4 linked regions of the Mus musculus genome follow. The protein of the gene in region 3 purifies or fractionates together with the protein of the main gene of each other region. This does not show direct contact. Links are inferred from orthologs where the notes say so. Each region holds a gene or a part of one and is shown on either strand. Other genes may lie near its edges. The genes, in order: Rbl2, Sirt1, E2f1 and Skp2.

Evidence for each region.
Region 1: the proteins of E2f1 (region 3) and Rbl2 purify together in Homo sapiens (affinity purification with western blotting; 3 studies listed by BioGRID and IntAct, with this or other methods). This does not show direct contact. The link is inferred for Mus musculus from reciprocal best matches to the Homo sapiens genes E2F1 and RBL2.
Region 2: the proteins of E2f1 (region 3) and Sirt1 purify together in Homo sapiens (affinity purification with western blotting; 3 studies listed by BioGRID and IntAct, with this or other methods). This does not show direct contact. The link is inferred for Mus musculus from reciprocal best matches to the Homo sapiens genes E2F1 and SIRT1.
Region 4: the proteins of E2f1 (region 3) and Skp2 purify together in Homo sapiens (affinity purification with western blotting; 6 studies listed by BioGRID). This does not show direct contact. The link is inferred for Mus musculus from reciprocal best matches to the Homo sapiens genes E2F1 and SKP2.

Annotation. Positions count from the first base shown.
Region 1 is NC_000074.6:91,115,057-91,118,556, forward strand, and holds part of Rbl2 (retinoblastoma-like protein 2), read left to right. Parts: coding exon 1-193; intron 194-605; coding exon 606-770; intron 771-3,500. UniProt on the Homo sapiens protein: Key regulator of entry into cell division. Directly involved in heterochromatin formation by maintaining overall chromatin structure and, in particular, that of constitutive heterochromatin by stabilizing histone methylation.
Region 2 is NC_000076.6:63,317,932-63,322,487, reverse strand, and holds the end of Sirt1 (NAD-dependent protein deacetylase sirtuin-1), read left to right. Parts: intron 1-187; coding exon 188-739; intron 740-1,523; coding exon 1,524-1,852; 3' UTR 1,853-3,483; downstream 3,484-4,556. UniProt on the Homo sapiens protein: NAD-dependent protein deacetylase that links transcriptional regulation directly to intracellular energetics and participates in the coordination of several separated cellular functions such as cell cycle, response to DNA damage, metabolism, apoptosis and autophagy.
Region 3 is NC_000068.7:154,566,466-154,571,721, forward strand, and holds the start of E2f1 (transcription factor E2F1), read right to left. Parts: upstream 3,428-5,256; 5' UTR 3,270-3,427; coding exon 3,024-3,269; intron 2,962-3,023; exon of another isoform or gene 2,713-2,961; coding exon of another isoform or gene 2,602-2,712; intron 1-2,601. UniProt on the Homo sapiens protein: Transcription activator that binds DNA cooperatively with DP proteins through the E2 recognition site, 5'-TTTC[CG]CGC-3' found in the promoter region of a number of genes whose products are involved in cell cycle regulation or in DNA replication.
Region 4 is NC_000081.6:9,137,102-9,142,387, reverse strand, and holds the start of Skp2 (S-phase kinase-associated protein 2), read left to right. Parts: upstream 1-1,933; 5' UTR 1,934-2,196; coding exon 2,197-2,204; intron 2,205-2,684; coding exon 2,685-2,956; intron 2,957-5,286. UniProt on the Homo sapiens protein: Substrate recognition component of a SCF (SKP1-CUL1-F-box protein) E3 ubiquitin-protein ligase complex which mediates the ubiquitination and subsequent proteasomal degradation of target proteins involved in cell cycle progression, signal transduction and transcription.

The sequences.
Region 1 (3,500 bases), on a different chromosome or scaffold from region 3:
CCCAGTGATGAGGTCAAACAGCACCCTACCAGTTCCACAGCCCAGCAGTGCCCCTCCTACACCAACTCGACTCACGGGTGCCAGCAGTGACGTTGAAGAGGAGGAACGAGGAGACCTCATTCAGTTCTACAACAACATCTATAGGAAGCAAATCCAAGCGTTTGCCATGAAGTACTCGCAGGCAAACGCGCAGGTCAGTAGGGCAGGGTCACTGAGTTCAGCCTCTCACGAGGGGGAGGAATCACTTGAGGTTTTCCATCATAAACTAGGCTTACAAGTAATTCTTTAAACAGTCTCCAACACGAGTATCAAGGCACAAGTCAACTGAGCTCTCTGTACAGTTGTCAGTCACCTCATATATGAAATGAGGACAGTAGTTGTCTGACTGCTGGGAGGCTCAAATGATATAATGTATAAAAATGCTTCACATGGGGGCTGAACTAAACACCTGCATGTGTTAGCTGTTGGTGTGAGTCTCTAGTTTCTTTGGTTGTTGCTGATCCACCACTGTTCATCTTTCAAAAGCCTTCCACTCAACTGTTGACTTTTAATGCAACCTGGCTAGGACGGCTTATTCTCAGAATTCCTTGTTTTGTTTTCCACAGACGGACACTCCTCCCCTCTCTCCCTATCCATTTGTAAGAACAGGCTCCCCTCGCCGAGTACAGTTATCTCAAAGTCATCCTATCTACATTTCCCCACATAACAACGAAGCAATGCCTTCTCCTCGAGAGAAGATTTTTTACTACTTCAGCAACAGCCCATCAAAGGTAAGACTACATAAATGGCATTAACCAACTCTAACTGCTTAGCAGGCTAGGACTAGCTCTAGTGAGCGAAGCACTCCCTGGGGCACTGTAACTGCCGGACATCAGAAGGCTTAAGTCACAATGGGCAGAACCCAGGATCCAATGGGTTTTGAGGACATCAGGGTTGGAAATAAAGTTGAGGAACTATGTTTTTCTTACCTCCTTTCCAATCTGTACATTTTGAAAACTGAGTTTTCTTTCATTAGTAAAATTTTATTTTTCTGCTTCTGTTCAGAATAGAAACTTTGGACTTTTTTTTTTTCCGTTTTGTTTTGTTTGTTTGTTTGTTTGTTTTGTTTTGTTTTCCAGACAGGGTTTCTGTGTATAGCTTTGGATGTCCTGGAACTCACTCTGTAGACCAGGCTGGCCTTGAACTCAGAAATCCACCTGCCTCTGCCTCCCAAGTGCTGGAATCAAAGGTGTGCGCCACCACCACCCAGTGAAACTTTGGACTCTTTAAACTGGTTACCAAGTTCTGTTTCTGCAGCAGTTACTTTCTCTCTCTCCACGGAGAGCTCAGAGTTAGACATATGTGGTAGCACCTGTTTCAGAGCAGGGAAACTTGAGCCTTGATAGTGAAGAGTTACATAGTTCCTGAGATGTGGAAGTATGCCCAAGAATCAGAGAAGAGGGAAAAAGGCTGTCTCACTGGAAGTAACGTAGGCTCAGTGGGGACAGAAGACGCTGTGACAAGCCAAATGCAGCATGTGCCCTTTTTGACTGGGTTGTGCTTAGGGAACCATGTGACACGGGGTAGGGTTGGGACTTAGTGTGGTGCCGACATTGATGGTACTGGTGGCTTATTACCACTGTATTTGGCTTATTGCTGCTCACTGCTGACTGAGCCCTCTCCCCAACCCTCTTACCTCTTTGATTCCTGTACCATCTTACCACCACAATCCATTTTGGAATGTATTTGGTTAAAATTGCAAGTTTTATAAGAAATACTGTCCCAATTTTAGGAAATCTCATCCCTCTGCAATTGCTTTTTGGATCAGTTGCTGACAATCTGTTGGTAGGTTTTACAAACAACCCCATTAAGATCATCTAGTATTAGATGTAAAAAACGTATGCAGTTTCTTCAAATGTGAAGATACACTTTAAAGGAGACAATCCTGCTGGATGGTGGAGGCACACACCTTTAATCCCAGCACTTGTGGGGCAGAAGCAGGCAGATCTCTTGAGTTTAAGGCCATCCTGATCTACAGAGTGAGTTCCAAAATGGCAATCCAAATACCTAGTAGTTGATGAATAAAATAAGTATGTATATGACCAAAAAGTGAAGTACTAGCTAGCACATACTTCTGTGTGGGTAACCCCTATAGACACAACAGTGAGTGGGGTTAGTTATAGAAGACTGAACATGATCTACGCAGGTTAGATGTACGCAATGAGCAGATATATAGAGGCAGAAAACAGATCAGTGGTTGCCTGGGAGAAAAGGAAGCATTTCCGCTGGTGGGAAAGATTCCTTTGAGAGCAATAAGGTTGACTGTAGCAAGCAGCTATCACTGGGTCACACTGTAAATGCTGAGCTATGTGGCATGCCAATTTTATCTCAACAAGGCTGTTGTAAAGAACGTGTTCAAAACACCATGCTAGCACCAAGTACAAAGAGACTCGCGGTAGCTATCTAACACAAGAACTAGACTTCAGAGCAAGGAGACCCAGACATTCACTTCCTGGGCGAGGAATACAGCTCAGTGGTGAAGCATTAGCAGAGCATGGACCCTGCTCAGTTATGAGAGATGTGAGCTGTGAGGAGAGAAAATGCATTCATGGTGGAGAAGTCAACATAACTGATAGAACGGGCAGAGAAAATGAATAAAGATATAAAAGACGGGACAACAATCCACAGCGCCACCTGCCTGTGGGACACTAATACAAAGGTAGACCATATTCTGGACTACACACACATCTTAGTACAGTGCTGAGCACCAGTCTCATCCATGCAAAGCAGGTGCTTGTCCACTGAATTACATCCCCACATTTGTAGTGAATTAAAGGATTCAAATAATGCAATTTTTTTCTGGCCATACTGGCAATCAATGCTCTCTGCAAACCTCTAAAGTTTTGGAAGCTTAATATCAGATTTCTGTGGGTGAAAGAAGAGATCACAGAGAAGATGAAAGCATTTTATATTAATGAGAATCTACAATGTTTACATTGTAGGTGTCTTAGTCACTGTTCTATTGCTGTGGAGAAACACCATGACCAGACAAAATCCCAGCAGAATTAATTGTAAAAAGTAGTCCCATGATTAAAAAATGTGTATAAACAGGCAAAGGAACCCAATAATACAACTTTTAAAGAGTTGGGGGTTCACAGCATCTGAGTTCTTAGGCTTAAGGTAGTGTAGCTCAAATGCAAATTCAGAGGTCAGTACAACACACCGAAGCAAGCATACTGTGTGTGCAGGGTGAGCTGAGTCTTTCTCAAAGGTGCCGTGGCAGTTGTCAAGCCAACTGTTAGCACCAACAGATGGCGCTAAACTGAGTGGCAATCTATGTGCTGTAACAATCATAGATCATATGCATGCCTGTGTCACATGTAATACTTAATGCCAAGTAATCACAGATACAAATATAAAACCAACAACTGAAAACTTACAGAAGAAAATGAAGTCTTGATGAGCATGTGCTGTGGACAGATTTCTCAGATACAACATAAAAATCACAATCCATGAAATAA
Region 2 (4,556 bases), on a different chromosome or scaffold from region 3:
GGCCTGAGCGGGAGGAAAGTCTACTGTTTGTTATTGAGAGGAAGTTGCTTTTGAAAATGTGATTTGTATTTCTGCTTGCCCCTCTTTTTGTTGTTGGGATTAGCGGGGGTGTGCTACCATGCCCACCTCTTGACAGTTGTTAAAATTAACTTCTCTTTTCTAACTCCCCTTTTCACCCCATTTTTAGGTTCTATACCCCATGAAGTGCCTCAAATATTAATAAATAGGGAACCTTTGCCTCATCTACATTTTGATGTAGAGCTCCTTGGAGACTGCGATGTTATAATTAATGAGTTGTGTCATAGGCTAGGTGGTGAATATGCCAAACTTTGTTGTAACCCTGTAAAGCTTTCAGAAATTACTGAAAAACCTCCACGCCCACAAAAGGAATTGGTTCATTTATCAGAGTTGCCACCAACACCTCTTCATATTTCGGAAGACTCAAGTTCACCTGAAAGAACTGTACCACAAGACTCTTCTGTGATTGCTACACTTGTAGACCAAGCAACAAACAACAATGTTAATGATTTAGAAGTATCTGAATCAAGTTGTGTGGAAGAAAAACCACAAGAAGTACAGACTAGTAGGAATGTTGAGAACATTAATGTGGAAAATCCAGATTTTAAGGCTGTTGGTTCCAGTACTGCAGACAAAAATGAAAGAACTTCAGTTGCAGAAACAGTGAGAAAATGCTGGCCTAATAGACTTGCAAAGGAGCAGATTAGTAAGCGGCTTGAGGGTATGGAATGCGTTTTGTTGAATCACTTTCAAAGTACTGTGATCAGAGGAGGGTGATTCCCAATGTCAGATAACTGTTTTGACATTAGTTGATGAAGGTAGTGCTATGTGTTTGTGTGTATTAAGTTAAAGTAAGTTTGGGCGATGAGTTTGTCTTTGCTGGCAGTAGTGTGTATGATTAAACCTGGGGCTTCAAGCAGCTAGGGAACGAGATCTGTCAGCTGAGTTATATCCCAAAAGTGGGTTTTACTCCGTTCTCCCACCTCCCCAGCAAATGATTAAGACTTGGGTCAGTTTATGATCTTATAGGGTGGGAACCATGTTCTGGGTGGGAAAACTCAGGGTTGAAGATGTACCCCAGAAGGTAATTAGGCCTAGGTCTGCCTTAAGGCTGTACCCTCTTCTACCTTCTTGCTCAAACAAGGCTGCCTTGTTTAAGATCTCGAAAACAGGGTTCCTATCTACTGGACACCTATTTTGTCCTGTCAACTGTTAGGGTGGTGCAAACACTGCTCCCTCCCCTCTAACACAGGCACAATCTGTTCATACACAATGGGAGGCTTGTGCTCTGGGAATTGCACTTGGCCTGTATCATATTTGCCCCTGGAACAAGCTTTGGAAGTATGTTTCTGGTCATTGGTGCAAACAAGGGAGCTGTTAGACTTGAAAAGATGTAATCCCAGCCTTCAGGAGGCAGAAGTAAGAGTTGAGTTCAAGAGTAAGCCAACAAGTTAGGTACTAAGGGACACATAAAATTCTAAGTGCTATTTTCTTCTGTATTTCAGGTAATCAATACCTGTTTGTACCACCAAATCGTTACATATTCCACGGTGCTGAGGTATACTCAGACTCTGAAGATGACGTCTTGTCCTCTAGTTCCTGTGGCAGTAACAGTGACAGTGGCACATGCCAGAGTCCAAGTTTAGAAGAACCCTTGGAAGATGAAAGTGAAATTGAAGAATTCTACAATGGCTTGGAAGATGATACGGAGAGGCCCGAATGTGCTGGAGGATCTGGATTTGGAGCTGATGGAGGGGATCAAGAGGTTGTTAATGAAGCTATAGCTACAAGACAGGAATTGACAGATGTAAACTATCCATCAGACAAATCATAACACTATTGAAGCTGTCCGGATTCAGGAATTGCTCCACCAGCATTGGGAACTTTAGCATGTCAAAAAATGAATGTTTACTTGTGAACTTGAACAAGGAAATCTGAAAGATGTATTATTTATAGACTGGAAAATAGATTGTCTTCTTGGATAATTTCTAAAGTTCCATCATTTCTGTTTGTACTTGTACATTCAACACTGTTGGTTGACTTCATCTTCCTTTCAAGGTTCATTTGTATGATACATTCGTATGTATGTATAATTTTGTTTTTTGCCTAATGAGTTTCAACCTTTTAAAGTTTTCAAAAGCCATTGGAATGTTAATGTAAAGGGAACAGCTTATCTAGACCAAAGAATGGTATTTCACACTTTTTTGTTTGTAACATTGAATAGTTTAAAGCCCTCAATTTCTGTTCTGCTGAACTTTTATTTTTAGGACAGTTAACTTTTTAAACACTGGCATTTTCCAAAACTTGTGGCAGCTAACTTTTTAAAATCACAGATGACTTGTAATGTGAGGAGTCAGCACCGTGTCTGGAGCACTCAAAACTTGGTGCTCAGTGTGTGAAGCGTACTTACTGCATCGTTTTTGTACTTGCTGCAGACGTGGTAATGTCCAAACAGGCCCCTGAGACTAATCTGATAAATGATTTGGAAATGTGTTTCAGTTGTTCTAGAAACAATAGTGCCTGTCTATATAGGTCCCCTTAGTTTGAATATTTGCCATTGTTTAATTAAATACCTATCACTGTGGTAGAGCCTGCATAGATCTTCACCACAAATACTGCCAAGATGTGAATATGCAAAGCCTTTCTGAATCTAATAATGGTACTTCTACTGGGGAGAGTGTAATATTTTGGACTGCTGTTTTTCCATTAATGAGGAAAGCAATAGGCCTCTTAATTAAAGTCCCAAAGTCATAAGATAAATTGTAGCTCAACCAGAAAGTACACTGTTGCCTGTTGAGGATTTGGTGTAATGTATCCCAAGGTGTTAGCCTTGTATTATGGAGATGAATACAGATCCAATAGTCAAATGAAACTAGTTCTTAGTTATTTAAAAGCTTAGCTTGCCTTAAAACTAGGGATCAATTTTCTCAACTGCAGAAACTTTTAGCCTTTCAAACAGTTCACACCTCAGAAAGTCAGTATTTATTTTACAGACTTCTTTGGAACATTGCCCCCAAATTTAAATATTCATGTGGGTTTAGTATTTATTACAAAAAAATGATTTGAAATATAGCTGTTCTTTATGCATAAAATACCCAGTTAGGACCATTACTGCCAGAGGAGAAAAGTATTAAGTAGCTCATTTCCCTACCTAAAAGATAACTGAATTTATTTGGCTACACTAAAGAATGCAGTATATTTAGTTTTCCATTTGCATGATGTGTTTGTGCTATAGACAATATTTTAAATTGAAAAATTTGTTTTAAATTATTTTTACAGTGAAGACTGTTTTCAGCTCTTTTTATATTGTACATAGACTTTTATGTAATCTGGCATATGTTTTGTAGACCGTTTAATGACTGGATTATCTTCCTCCAACTTTTGAAATACAAAAACAGTGTTTTATACTTGTATCTTGTTTTAAAGTCTTATATTAAAATTGTCATTTGACTTTTTTCCCGTTAACTTCCATTGTTCATAGCATACTAGCCCAGTAAGGGTTGCTATCACTAAATGCCTCAAGAAAGTCTATCTTAACACATTTGTTACCTGTGTTTAGTAAGACTGAGGGTGTTGGTTTTCTAGTGTCAGACCAGAGTGAATCCAAAGCTGGCCATGTAAAAGACACCTGGCAAAGAAAGCTAAATACACCAAGTGGAGAAATGGTTTAATGTGGTCTGTGGTTCCCCCTCCTCCTCCAATTTGGAAAGAATGCCAAATGAGATGACAGTACAAATAGCCAGAGCCTCACCCAGAACACTGCTGGGTGTGGTGGGCATGCCCACAGTAGGTGACTCTTGTACATACACAGGGACTAACTTACTAACTTAAGATCTCATTTTTTGTAGGGAGGAGTGCGCTTTGAAGGAAAAAGGTGTGTGTCCCAACTAAGCATTTTTAGACAGGAGTCCGTTTTAGTGAATAGCCCAAATAGCCTCACCAAAACAATTCAAAATAGTGTTGGCTGCAAGAGTTCAGCAGTTGAGTGCTTACTGCTTTTGTGTGGTTCTCAGCTTGTGACTGGGATGCCTGGCCTACACATAACACAAACCACCTAAGTTAAATCAAAGATATTAAGTATTTTAAGCTTTTTATGGCATTTCTGTTAGATGTACCACATCAATTCATATTCAGTTATCCCACATTAATAAACTGAAAATAAGCAACAGCACCATTTAAAATCTCAGATTTTCTAAGCACTAAAAATTGAATACTGCAGCATCAGTAGTTTTAAAGCTGTAACTCGTGATTGTTTCTCACAGTGGCTTATATCTATCTCAGGACTCAGAAAGCTTAAAGTTAAGTAACACTTAATTTAGGTCTGCATATTGTAGCAAAAAGATCATTTCCGCCGGGCGTGGTGGCCCATGCCTTTAATCCCAGCACTCTGGAGGCAGAGGCAGGCGGATTTCTGAGTTCGAGGCCAGCCTGGTCTACAAAGTGAGCTCCAGGACATCCAGGGCTATACAGAGAAACCCTGTCTAGAGATCATTTCCACCATGATTTTTACAGATAGAATCTGCAAGTGAGACTGAATC
Region 3 (5,256 bases):
GCTTGTTTCTGTCACTCATCTTTAGACAACCCTAGCACTGAGATCCTAAAACCCATAGGTGAAGATACAGATAGCTGAATGATTCAACCCCCTCCCCCCCCCCCCCCCACACACACACACACAGGAAGGGCACAAAAGCTTTATGCAGCCCCTGGAACAGCATGTAGTCTCAGTAACAGACCGAGGCAGGCCCAGGCCAGCACAGAATCTGCTCAGACACACAAGGAAACCACTGTGACAGGCTAACACATACATGGTCCCTTCCTGGACTAGAAATCTCAGGAGCTGTTCTCCAGTTTAGCTTCTAAGAGTGTTTCAGAAACAGGAGCGCGTCTGTGGGGGAGCCAGCGCAGACGGTTACCTCCTCTGGGCAATGTGAATGACGTACTGTTTGAACTCCTGATCCTTGGACCTCACTTAAGTACTGGGCTTTTAAAGGAGCCACCACACATGGCTCACAGCAAATTTTAGAACTATTAAAAACAAGACTGGGGCCTGGCACTTATTCAGCGTGCATTCAATTCTGGGTTCAATCCCCAACAGCATTAAGCACTCACAGCGACCAGCCAGGGATTCGTGTAATAAAACAACAGTGTCACACCTAAAACAAGGGCCCTGCAGAAGAGCTGGCTTTCTACTCTAAGCCTGGCTCTTACAGACTTAATGTATGGTACCACATACTTTCTACAGTAAACAAGAACTATAATGGGGAACCTCAGTTTCTTGCTGTTACTGTTTTGAAAGAGGGTCTTTGTAATTCGGGCTGGCTTTGAACTCAAGAAGTCAATTAACCAAAATAGGCTGTTGATATTTTATTTATTTTTGTTTGTTTGTTTTGTTTTGTTTTTCAAGACAGGGTTTCTCTGTAGCCCTGGCTGTCCTGGAACTCACTTTGTAGACCAGGCTGGTCTCGAACTCAGAAATCTGCCTCTGCCTCCCAAGTGCTGGGATTAAAGGCGTGTGCCACCACGCCCGGCTTAATTTATTTTTAACTAGTTTACTTTTTAAAATTATTTTCTTTTTAAAATGAAATTTGTGTCTGTATGAATGTATGTGAACATGGGTACCCAAAGACAGGAGAAGACTATCAAATCCCTGGAGACTGAAGTTAGCCATGTGACCTCAGTGTTGGGGCTGTGATCCAAACTCAAGTTGTCATAACAGAGAAGCAATTGCTTTCAATGGCTGAACCATCTATCCAGCCCAACTTACTTTAAGGTTAGGTTTCACTATGTAGCCCTGGCTGGCCTTGAACCTGTGTCAGTTCTCCTGTCTGTGCTATTCCCCTCCCCCCCCCCCCCCAGGATCTACACATACATGACAAGGTAGAGAGGTAGGTCAAGGAGGAATGTCTGAACTGCAAAGAGGTGTACAGAGGTGCACAGGAAGGACCCAGCAAGTATTCACTGGGTGCAAGCCAAGCCTGTAGCTTATTTCAAGGACTGCCCCCCCAAAATTCCAGAGCAAAGTTGGTAGAGGCCAAAATCCAGATTTGCATTCCTGGCCTTTGGCTCCGGGATGGTGTCAACCTCTCCCACAGAAAATGTTTGCTGGTCCTTAAGTACTATGGGGGCAGGGGTTCCCTAACTACCTCTGCACCTAGGGCACAAAGGGACTCACTAACTCAACTAGAGCGAATGGAATGTTTGGTTACATGTAGAATACCTGCCCAGGGCCCAAGCTCCTCCCTACAGGTACAGGCCCCTGGAGTTAATGCAAGGCAAGCCGGCTGACCCACCAAATACTGGCCGTCCTCGCTGGGAGGAAAGGCCTTTAACAGCCAGGAAATCCCGCTCAGTCACTGAATGCTTAAGAAGTTCTATCAGTTGTGGGCCTCAGCCTCATCTATGAAAGGATGACAAAGTGTACGGCTGCCCACAAGGTTAAGTGAGTAAAGTGCTTAGCACAGAGCCTGGCACACAAAACATCCTCAAAACAATGGTGGTTGCTATTGTTATTATTATTAGCATCTTGGTGATTCCGGAAGGAAGGCAGCACTGGGCGCTGTGCCAAGGGGAGTAAGGGGCCTACTCTAAGATGCCTCAGGGACCAGCTGCCACCCACACCCCCATCAGGAGTTGAACAGCTTCTTCTCTGATACTGGGCCTTGCCCTCGCCCCTCCTGTCCACTCCACCCCTACAATGAAGATAGTGGCCCACTCACGGAGCTGGCCCCTGCTTAGATCCAAGTTCCACTCTCCTCGTACCCAGCTGCCTTTTCTAGGCCCCCTGCCTAAAGTGGTCTTGAGCTACTTGCTTAGAATCAGGAAGAGACTTTTATCCAGGGATCTCCCTCCCACGTCTTCTCTCTCCAGGAACTGGAGGCCCCTTCTCAGGGGCCCAGCCCACCCAGTCTTCCAGAGGCTCAGAGGTCTGTCCGCCTGATTAATAAAGTTCCATGGCAACCAGGAGCTGGAAGGGTGGCAGATGGAAGAACAGGCAAAGGAAGGGTTGCAGCAGCTGGCCCAGCACCCCGCCCCTGCAGAGAAGGCCTCCCAATCAAGAGGCCTATCCCCAGAGGCCTGGAAGGCCAGGCCTGCACCTGGCAGAGCTACTAAGGAGGATCTCCCGAAGATGTCTCTAACAGTCACCCTCTCTCACCTCCAACAAGCAACTGTGCGCACTCCCTAGCCATAGGTTCTGCAGCAAGCCAGCAGACATCAGTTCAAATATCAGCCCCACCATCTGCAGCTGCGTGAAGCACTTCCCCATCTCTGGGCCTCAGTTCCTCCCTCTGGCAGATGGGCACGTGACAACACCCAGCTCACACCAGAATTGGGAATTTGGTGCCAAAGCCTGAGCGTGCACTAAGCAAGCACCAGCTGGATACACGTGAGACACAATCATTAATGGTTCCGACGCTCCGGTGAAGACGCCGAGGCCCGGAGCGAGGCTCAGCAAACAGACAGGCAAGGCAGTCAGTCAATGCGCGCCCCGGGGCGGAGCCCCGAGGCCCAGCCCAGGCTCCGCGCCGCCCAGCGCAGCAGCCCGTCCCCTCCCCCGCCCGCGCCTAGGGTCCGTACCGGCGGGCGGCCGAGAGCCGGGCGCGGTGCACTAGGCGCGGGTCGGGGCGCCTGCGGCGTGGCGAAGAGCAGCACGTCAGAATCGCGAGGGCCAGTGGGCGGCGCGGCGGGGAGCTGCGGGGCGCCGACATCGGGCGCGGTGGAGATGATGACGATCTGCGAGGAGTCGAGCAGCCGCAACGCGCCCGCCCCGAGCAGGGCCTCCAGCGCTGGCGCGTGCTGGCCGCCCGCGGGGGCTACGGCCATGGCGCTCACGGCCCGCGTGGCCCGGGAGGCAGGCGGCGGCGGCGGCGCGGGCCCATGACTGGCAGGCCGCGGCGAGGGCTCGATCCCGCTCCGCCCCGGCCGCCGCTGCCTGCAAAGTCCGGGCCACTTTTACGCGCCAAATCCTTTTTGCCGCGAAAGAGCCACGCGCCGCCGAACGCCTCCTCCATTGGCCGGGGCGGCTGTGACGACGGAGGCTCCGATGGCGAGCATTGGTTGCGGCGTGCGGGGCAGGAGACGGAGGGTGGGACCAGGGGCGGGGTGGCCAATCCCGGGGCGGGGCGCGCGCAGGCTTTGTCCGGGCGGTGCCGGGCGCCTTCTCCCCTCTGCCTCTCGCCGTGCCCTGCAGGAGGCGTGGGCAATGGGCCCCGCCCCTTCACCGCCCACTCGATGGGTGGCGGGTCTGGCGAAGCGAACAAACTTCGTACTCGGTTCTGCACGTCCCGCAGTCTCCACATGACCCCCTAAACTCTCAACCTGTGGTCTCCACCCCCTCAGTTTACAGCCCAGAGACTGCCTCTTCAGGCTCACCTCCAAAGCTCGCTTCAGCCACATCTCCGGTCTTAAGATCCATTTATTCCATTAGTTCACATCATGCTTTCTTCCCTATCCTGTCACCCAGAAGCCAAGCCCAAGAGGGGAGCCAGGAAATGAGTAAGGGATGTGTGGCTTTGATCTCAGTGTCTTTTTACTGAAATTTCTTTCGTAGCCAGAGCCCAGTTAGCGTTCATTCATTTGGTCACTCCACAATGGCGCCTGCCTTTAATCCCAGCACTTGGGAGGCAGAGGCAGGCGGATCTTCCCAGTTCAGGTCATCCAGAACTACACAGTGAGACCCTGATCTCAAAAAAAAAAAAACGCCTGAGAGCGTTCACTGTCCCATCCTCAGTCCAGACCTTGACTCATGACTTAGTGAAAAGGAAAAAAAGGAAACACAGAAGCAGCAGATGTTTGCAATGTGAAGAGATTGGTCCATTAAAGTATCTCCTCTCATAGGGAGGTGCAGGGGCGAGGAGGGTGCGTATGGTGGTGCCTTTAATCCAGAGGTCCTCCATCAGCATTTCTGATTGCTGGGGTCAGCCCGTCTGATCAGCATTGTGGTCCTCTCTACTAGGCATCTTGCCAATACTGGGAATAGAAACATGAAAGGTTTAACAAGACCCACAAACTTCCTGTCCTTGGGGGTGGGGGAGATGACCACAAGAAGAGAGTAAGTAGCTGACAATATTCAAGTCCCCAGGTCCAGTGTAAGCTACAGGGAGCTCTCAAGCCGGGTTACTTTCTCCATGCTTCATGCTACTTAATCTTGGCCCCAACTCTGACCACATTACTCTGAGCTGGCTTAGCAGGGGCTGCTTCTCAGGCCCTTTCTGGGTATGAGAGAATTGGAGGCTGAGGGCAGAGGTGAGCAAGGACGCAATAAGGGGGCTGTGATGTTCCAGGGCCCAGAAACACCAAGGCACGGGTTAACTTTGAACCACCCCGGTTTGGCCAATTTAGAATCAATCCCCAGCCAGGCCGCCCTCTCCCCTTCTTGTTTTTTTTTTGGTTTGTTTTGATTGGGAGGGGTGGGTTTTTAGTTTGTGTTTAGAGACAGGGTCTCATCTGGCTCTGGTTGCCCTGGAACATCATTAAATCTGCCTGCTCCAGCCTCCAGTGCTGGAGTTGAATGGGTGGGGCCACAATGTCTGGTTTGCTCCGCCCCCCCCCCTTTTTCTTTAAAGCGATAGTATCTTGCTATGTAGTAGCTCAAACTGAATCAATGTTACCTTCCTGCATCCGCCTCCTGAGTGCTAGGGTTACATGTTTGGGCCACTACTTGACCTCCAGTTTAGAATCTTTTTGTCAAGACTGGAAGAGCTTAAGTCCCAGGATGGCCTGGACTATGTATAATACAGCAAGAATAAAAAAATAAATAAACATTTAAACAAAGGAACACAAGGAACACTTATGCCCATCCCAGATAATG
Region 4 (5,286 bases), on a different chromosome or scaffold from region 3:
AATAAAATATTTTACATTAGCAGCAATCACAATGTAGTGTTTAAGAGATCAGTCTCTTAAAGTCTCTATGGTGAGTTTCTATGTAGCTAATAACCTCACATCTTCAATGGACACAATTCCTCTATCAAAAAGAATCGTAACGGGCAGTGGTGGCACACACCTTTAATCCCAGCACTTGGGAGGCAGAGGCAGGTGGATTTCTGAGTTCGAGGCCAGCTTGGTCTACAGAGTGAGTTCCAGGTCAGCCAGGGCTACACAGAGAAACCCTGTCTCGAAAAACCAAAGGAAAAAAAAAATAAAAAGAATCGTGTGTGTATCAATACAAACCTTTTCAGTATATTATGGAAATAGCTGTGATTAAAGAAATGCAAAAGAACACCGGTTTCATTATCAAGGCAAATCAGGAGGCTCCTAATTTCAAAGTTGATAGGCTTTCCTTTCCTAGAGAGAACCTTGTGCCCACTAATTTAAATATCCTAAGGTCTCTGCTAACTCTTAGCTGAATTCAGGGCTGTTTTATATTTACTAGAATTTACTCTTGAACGAGTTACATCCTAACAGAAAGGACAAAGTTCAAGAGAAGGCAAATGAGTTTTTCAAAGTAACAAAAGATAACTTTATACACTATTTCAGAAGGTCTCACTTTAGATACTTTCCATAACAAAACTGTGACTACATACTTATTCTCCTAGTCTTTCTTTTCAAGTAAAACCAATTTGCAAAAAGGTCTTTTTTTTTTACACCAATCTCACTCACAGGAACTAAAAGTTCATGAATCTCTTCCTCTCAAGAAGTAACTGATGCAAAGATTATGCTAGAAACAAAGACAAAACTGAGCATGAAGGATTTAATTCCACTATAAAACGAATCTTGCTCTCTCCACAAAGAAACACAAGTGTATGCAATCTAACATACTAAACCAATATTCTAATGTTTTTGATGAAGGTGGCCTGCTTTTTTCTCAACTCTATAAATCTTCATTTTTACTGGACTAGAAATGCATCCCCCTACCCTCTCCCCTGTTGCACAGTTTGCACACCTGAATTTTGCATGGTCATTCTAATCTAATCGCCCCCGACCTCTTCAGAGGCTAAATTAGCATAGTTTCTAGGCAGAGAGATTCTAGGACAGGCTGTGGATTGAGTCAGAGGCACCTAAACAGCTTTCAGGGTGGTCTCTCCTTGCAAGCGGAGCCTCCCTTTTTCCCTTTGGTATTTGGGAGACTCATCAAGGATCCAAGAGGATGCACGCGGGAACCACTGCTGGCTCCTGCCGCCTTAAAAATAAACCATCGCTCCTCTTGGAGCTGCGCTTTAGCTCGAAAAAGGCTTCCCCTCGCACGCTGATTTGATCTTCAGTGCCAGCCCATGAGGTGTGCCGCGTCCTCGAGCCTAGTTTACAAGTGAGGAAAGGATCGCGTCCACAGACCCAGTCCTAAGGGCCGCCCACTGCCAGGTGGAGGAAGGCGAATGGCAGGAGTGCCACCCGCAGCCTCTCACCTGGCGGGCCATCGAGACCCCGGAGATGGGCCTGGCGGCGGCGGCCACTCACCATCTGGAACTCCCCCCAAGTCTATGTCCGCCAGGGACTGGGCCGGGACCCCAGACCCTGACGCACCTCACGCGTCCCCGCCCCCCTCACGCTCACCGTCGGACCTCGCCAGACAGCGTCTGGAAGGGACTCAGAAGCTTCGCGTCCGCCGCAGCCTGCCGGGGTCACGGATCCTTCAGTCCCGGGCGACCGTGGCGGTGATCACCCGAAGGCCCGTGAGCTCCGGGAAAAGGAAAACCTGCTCCCAGTCAATCGGCTGACATTTCCCAGCCAGCCGGAGCTCCACCCACTTCCGCCTGCCTGTCCTCCTCCTCCTCCTCCTCCTCCTTCAATCCCGCCCGGCGCCGCAGGGAGTTGTGGGTATCTGGAGGGTTGGTCCGAAATCAGAGTGGAAGAACCCAGGCAGGACTACGAGCTAGGCTCGGAACTACAATTCCCAGCAGGCAACGGGGCGTCAGAAGGCGGCTGCTGGAGAGCGGGATGCAGAACTCCGCGCGCGCGGTGGTGATGGAACGTTGCTAGTTCGCGGGTCCAACTGCTGGGGCCCCGGGGATCACTCTAAGCCGAGCGCTAAAACAGGAGTCTGGAAGGCAGGCAGCGCTTCAATTAATTCAAGCATTCAAAACTCCTGAATCAGTGGACACCATGCATAGGTAAACCGATTGCAAAAAAACCGGACAAAACATGAATGAACCGTTTGAATTCTTTTAGGCCGCGAATGTTGCTTCTTGTTCAAATAATCTGGTTATGTGAATGTTTGCTTAGAGAAAAAGGATGGATGAATGCTTTAGTGCGAATATCAATGTGGAGTTTAATTTGGCTTCCTAATTAAGTTTTCCTTCCTCTACTTTGAGTCATGGTATCAGTGCCGTCCCTCTTTTTCCCTCCACGGGAAGAAATTATTGAGGCCTTCTGCGTGACCATAAATCCCAAAGCCTTTCAAAGTATATATGTTCCCGATTTTTCTCTTTCATTCTTGTATTTCTCTCGCTTGTAGGCACGTTTAAAAAATGCAGTACTGTCACTTGCTGGGACTTTTCTCCACTCCATTCTTTACTCTTCTTTCATGCCTACCTTGGAATTATTTAGGGGTGTATTTTCAAAAGGAATAGAGAATGTCTGCCCTTCTGCAGGAAGCACCTTCAGGAGATTCCGGACCAGAGTGGCAACGTCACCACCAGCTTCACGTGGGGATGGGATTCCAGCAAGACTTCTGAACTGCTATCAGGCATGGGTGTCTCGGCCTTGGAGAAGGAGGAGGTGGACAGTGAGAACATCCCACATGGACTGCTCTCAAACCTCGGCCACCCCCAGAGCCCTCCAAGGAAACGAGTCAAGGGCAAAGGGAGTGACAAAGACTTTGTGATCATCCGTCGGCCGAAGCTTAGTCGGGAGAACTTTCCAGGTAATGCACAACACTAAGATCCAAACTGTATTGTAATGGGTTGAACTATTTTGTTTTAACTAAATTCGATTGAATTATTTCCTTGGGGAATCTTTTTGGATCGGTGCCTAAAATTGCCTAGTTTTGGTGCCTAAAATTGCCTAGTTTGGAAGTGTGGCAGTGAAATGGATTCCAGTCATTAAGTCTTCAGGAATCTTGGTTGGTCTTTATCTTGTGGTCAACAATTGACTTGAAGCTTTTTTCCTGCCCTTTTCCTTAGAAAGGAATCTTCCTGCTCAAAGTCCAGCTCAGTACACTGACATATGGGAACAGAAGCAGGGATCTTAGAGGGTCCCCTTTTGTCTCTATATACTTCTTTGTATCTGAGCAAGCTTTGTATGGTAATGACTTAGATTATTGGTAGGCACATTAGGAAGGTAAATGTTACTAAGTAGAAGAGACTTAGATTGCTCCGCTTGCAAGCAGGCCCTTGGGGGTGTGGTGTTTCCCTTACTGTGACATTGCATCTACAGTCATAGAACCCTGAAATGTGGTCTCATCCCCACTGCCCCCACTACCCAGCTAGTCACTGTGTCTTTCACTCTTGTGTGGCAGCTGTTTCAAGCTTTCATCATCTCTTCCTGGATTATTGTAATAGATTTATATTGTCAGCTTTCTTCTCAGCTCTGTCTCCAGGAGGCAGGGTGGATTGATGAGATCAGAATTTACCTGAAATTCTTCTCTCACTAGTGACTCCCACTCCTTGATTCCCCAAACATTTTTAAATAAAGCGCCTCCAGGGCAGATCCAGACTCAAGGACTGGCAGCCTTAGAGTAAATATAGTGTGTTGACCTGAGGCTTGTCAAGGTTTCCCCACCCCCACCCCCTAGTCATTTAAAAAAGTGATTCAGGGTCGGGCAGTGGTAGCACACGCCTTTAATCCCAGGATTTAGGAGGCAGAGGCAGGCGGATTTCTGAGGCCAGCCTGGTCTACAGAGTGAGTTCCAGGACAGCCAGGGCTACACAGAGAAACCCTGTCTCAAAAGAGTGATTCAGGAAGTGTTTTTGAGAGCACACTGTCCTCCACAGTATAGTGGCTCCAGATAATAGCAGTGAACAAAACAGACAAATCCTAGAACTTCCATTCTAGTGAGGAAATGCTGGAAGTCCAATGGATATGGTACTTTCTGTAACATGTTAGGCCAACGTGGCTAAAAACAAAGAGGGGGTCAAACTGAGGCAGAATGGAGGAAGTCTTGGAATCTGAAGATAGATTGCAAACTGGTTATTGGCTGACATCCTTATTTGGGCTGTGACCTTTAAGCAAAGACAAGGGGAGAATGCAGGAATACGCGTGAAAATGTCCCTTGGCATAGGGAACCTAAAGTAAAGGGAAGCCACATAAGATGCTGGAGAACAGGAAAGCAGAGTGAGAGTGGACAGAGTAGGGAGAGGTGCGGCCTCAGGTGGGGCTGATCTTTCCTCATTGGAACACTCACTCCTCTCCCCTCGTTCAGTGTCGTCCATTGAGACAGGGTTTCTTTGTTTGTAGTGTAACTCACTGGCCTCCAACTCAGACAGGCTGGCCTCCAGCTCAGAGATCTGCCTGCCTCAAGTGCTGGGATTAAAAGAGTGGACCATTGGCGCCCCGGCTCGGTGACCCCTCCAAAGGGACACATTGGTTAGCTGAGGCTGAACTGTATCGGGTAGAGGATAGGCAGCAGACCCCTAGAGATTTATGTAGAGCAGTGAGAGAATGATAAGCCGTGGTCAGGATGAAAGCAGTGGAAGAGGTGACCAAAGTCTAAACTAAAATTGGGTGAGGAATGGAAAAAGACGTTGAAGAAAGCATCAGAGTGAAGCCTTGCAAAGCCAGCGTAAAGAAATGGATTCTTCCGTCCTTCCTTCGGGCGCTGTCTGCAGACAGGGTGGTGAGCAGATCCGTGGCTTGCTTGAAAATCCCTGTTTTGTAGTCCCCTGTGGTGTCTCATGCCTTTGAACCCAGTACACCAGTGGCCAAAGCTGGCAGATCTCTGTGAATTGGAAGCTCTTTGGCCTATACAGTGACTTCCAGGACAACCAGGGCTACGCAATGAGACTCTTGTCTCAAAAAAAAAAAATTCTGTTTGGGCTTCTCAATACTTTTTTGGAAAGGGAGTCATCTTCAGGTTATAGCATGTGAGTCCACATTAATGCCAGGTATGGTGGCACGTCTCTCTGGTCCCAGTTTAAGAGGCTGTAGTCAGAAGATGGGGATTTCTAGAAAGCATGAGCCTCGCAGTAAGACTGTCTCAAAGTGAAAACATAACTGAATATATAATAATATATGAGATTAACTAGAGGGGTATGG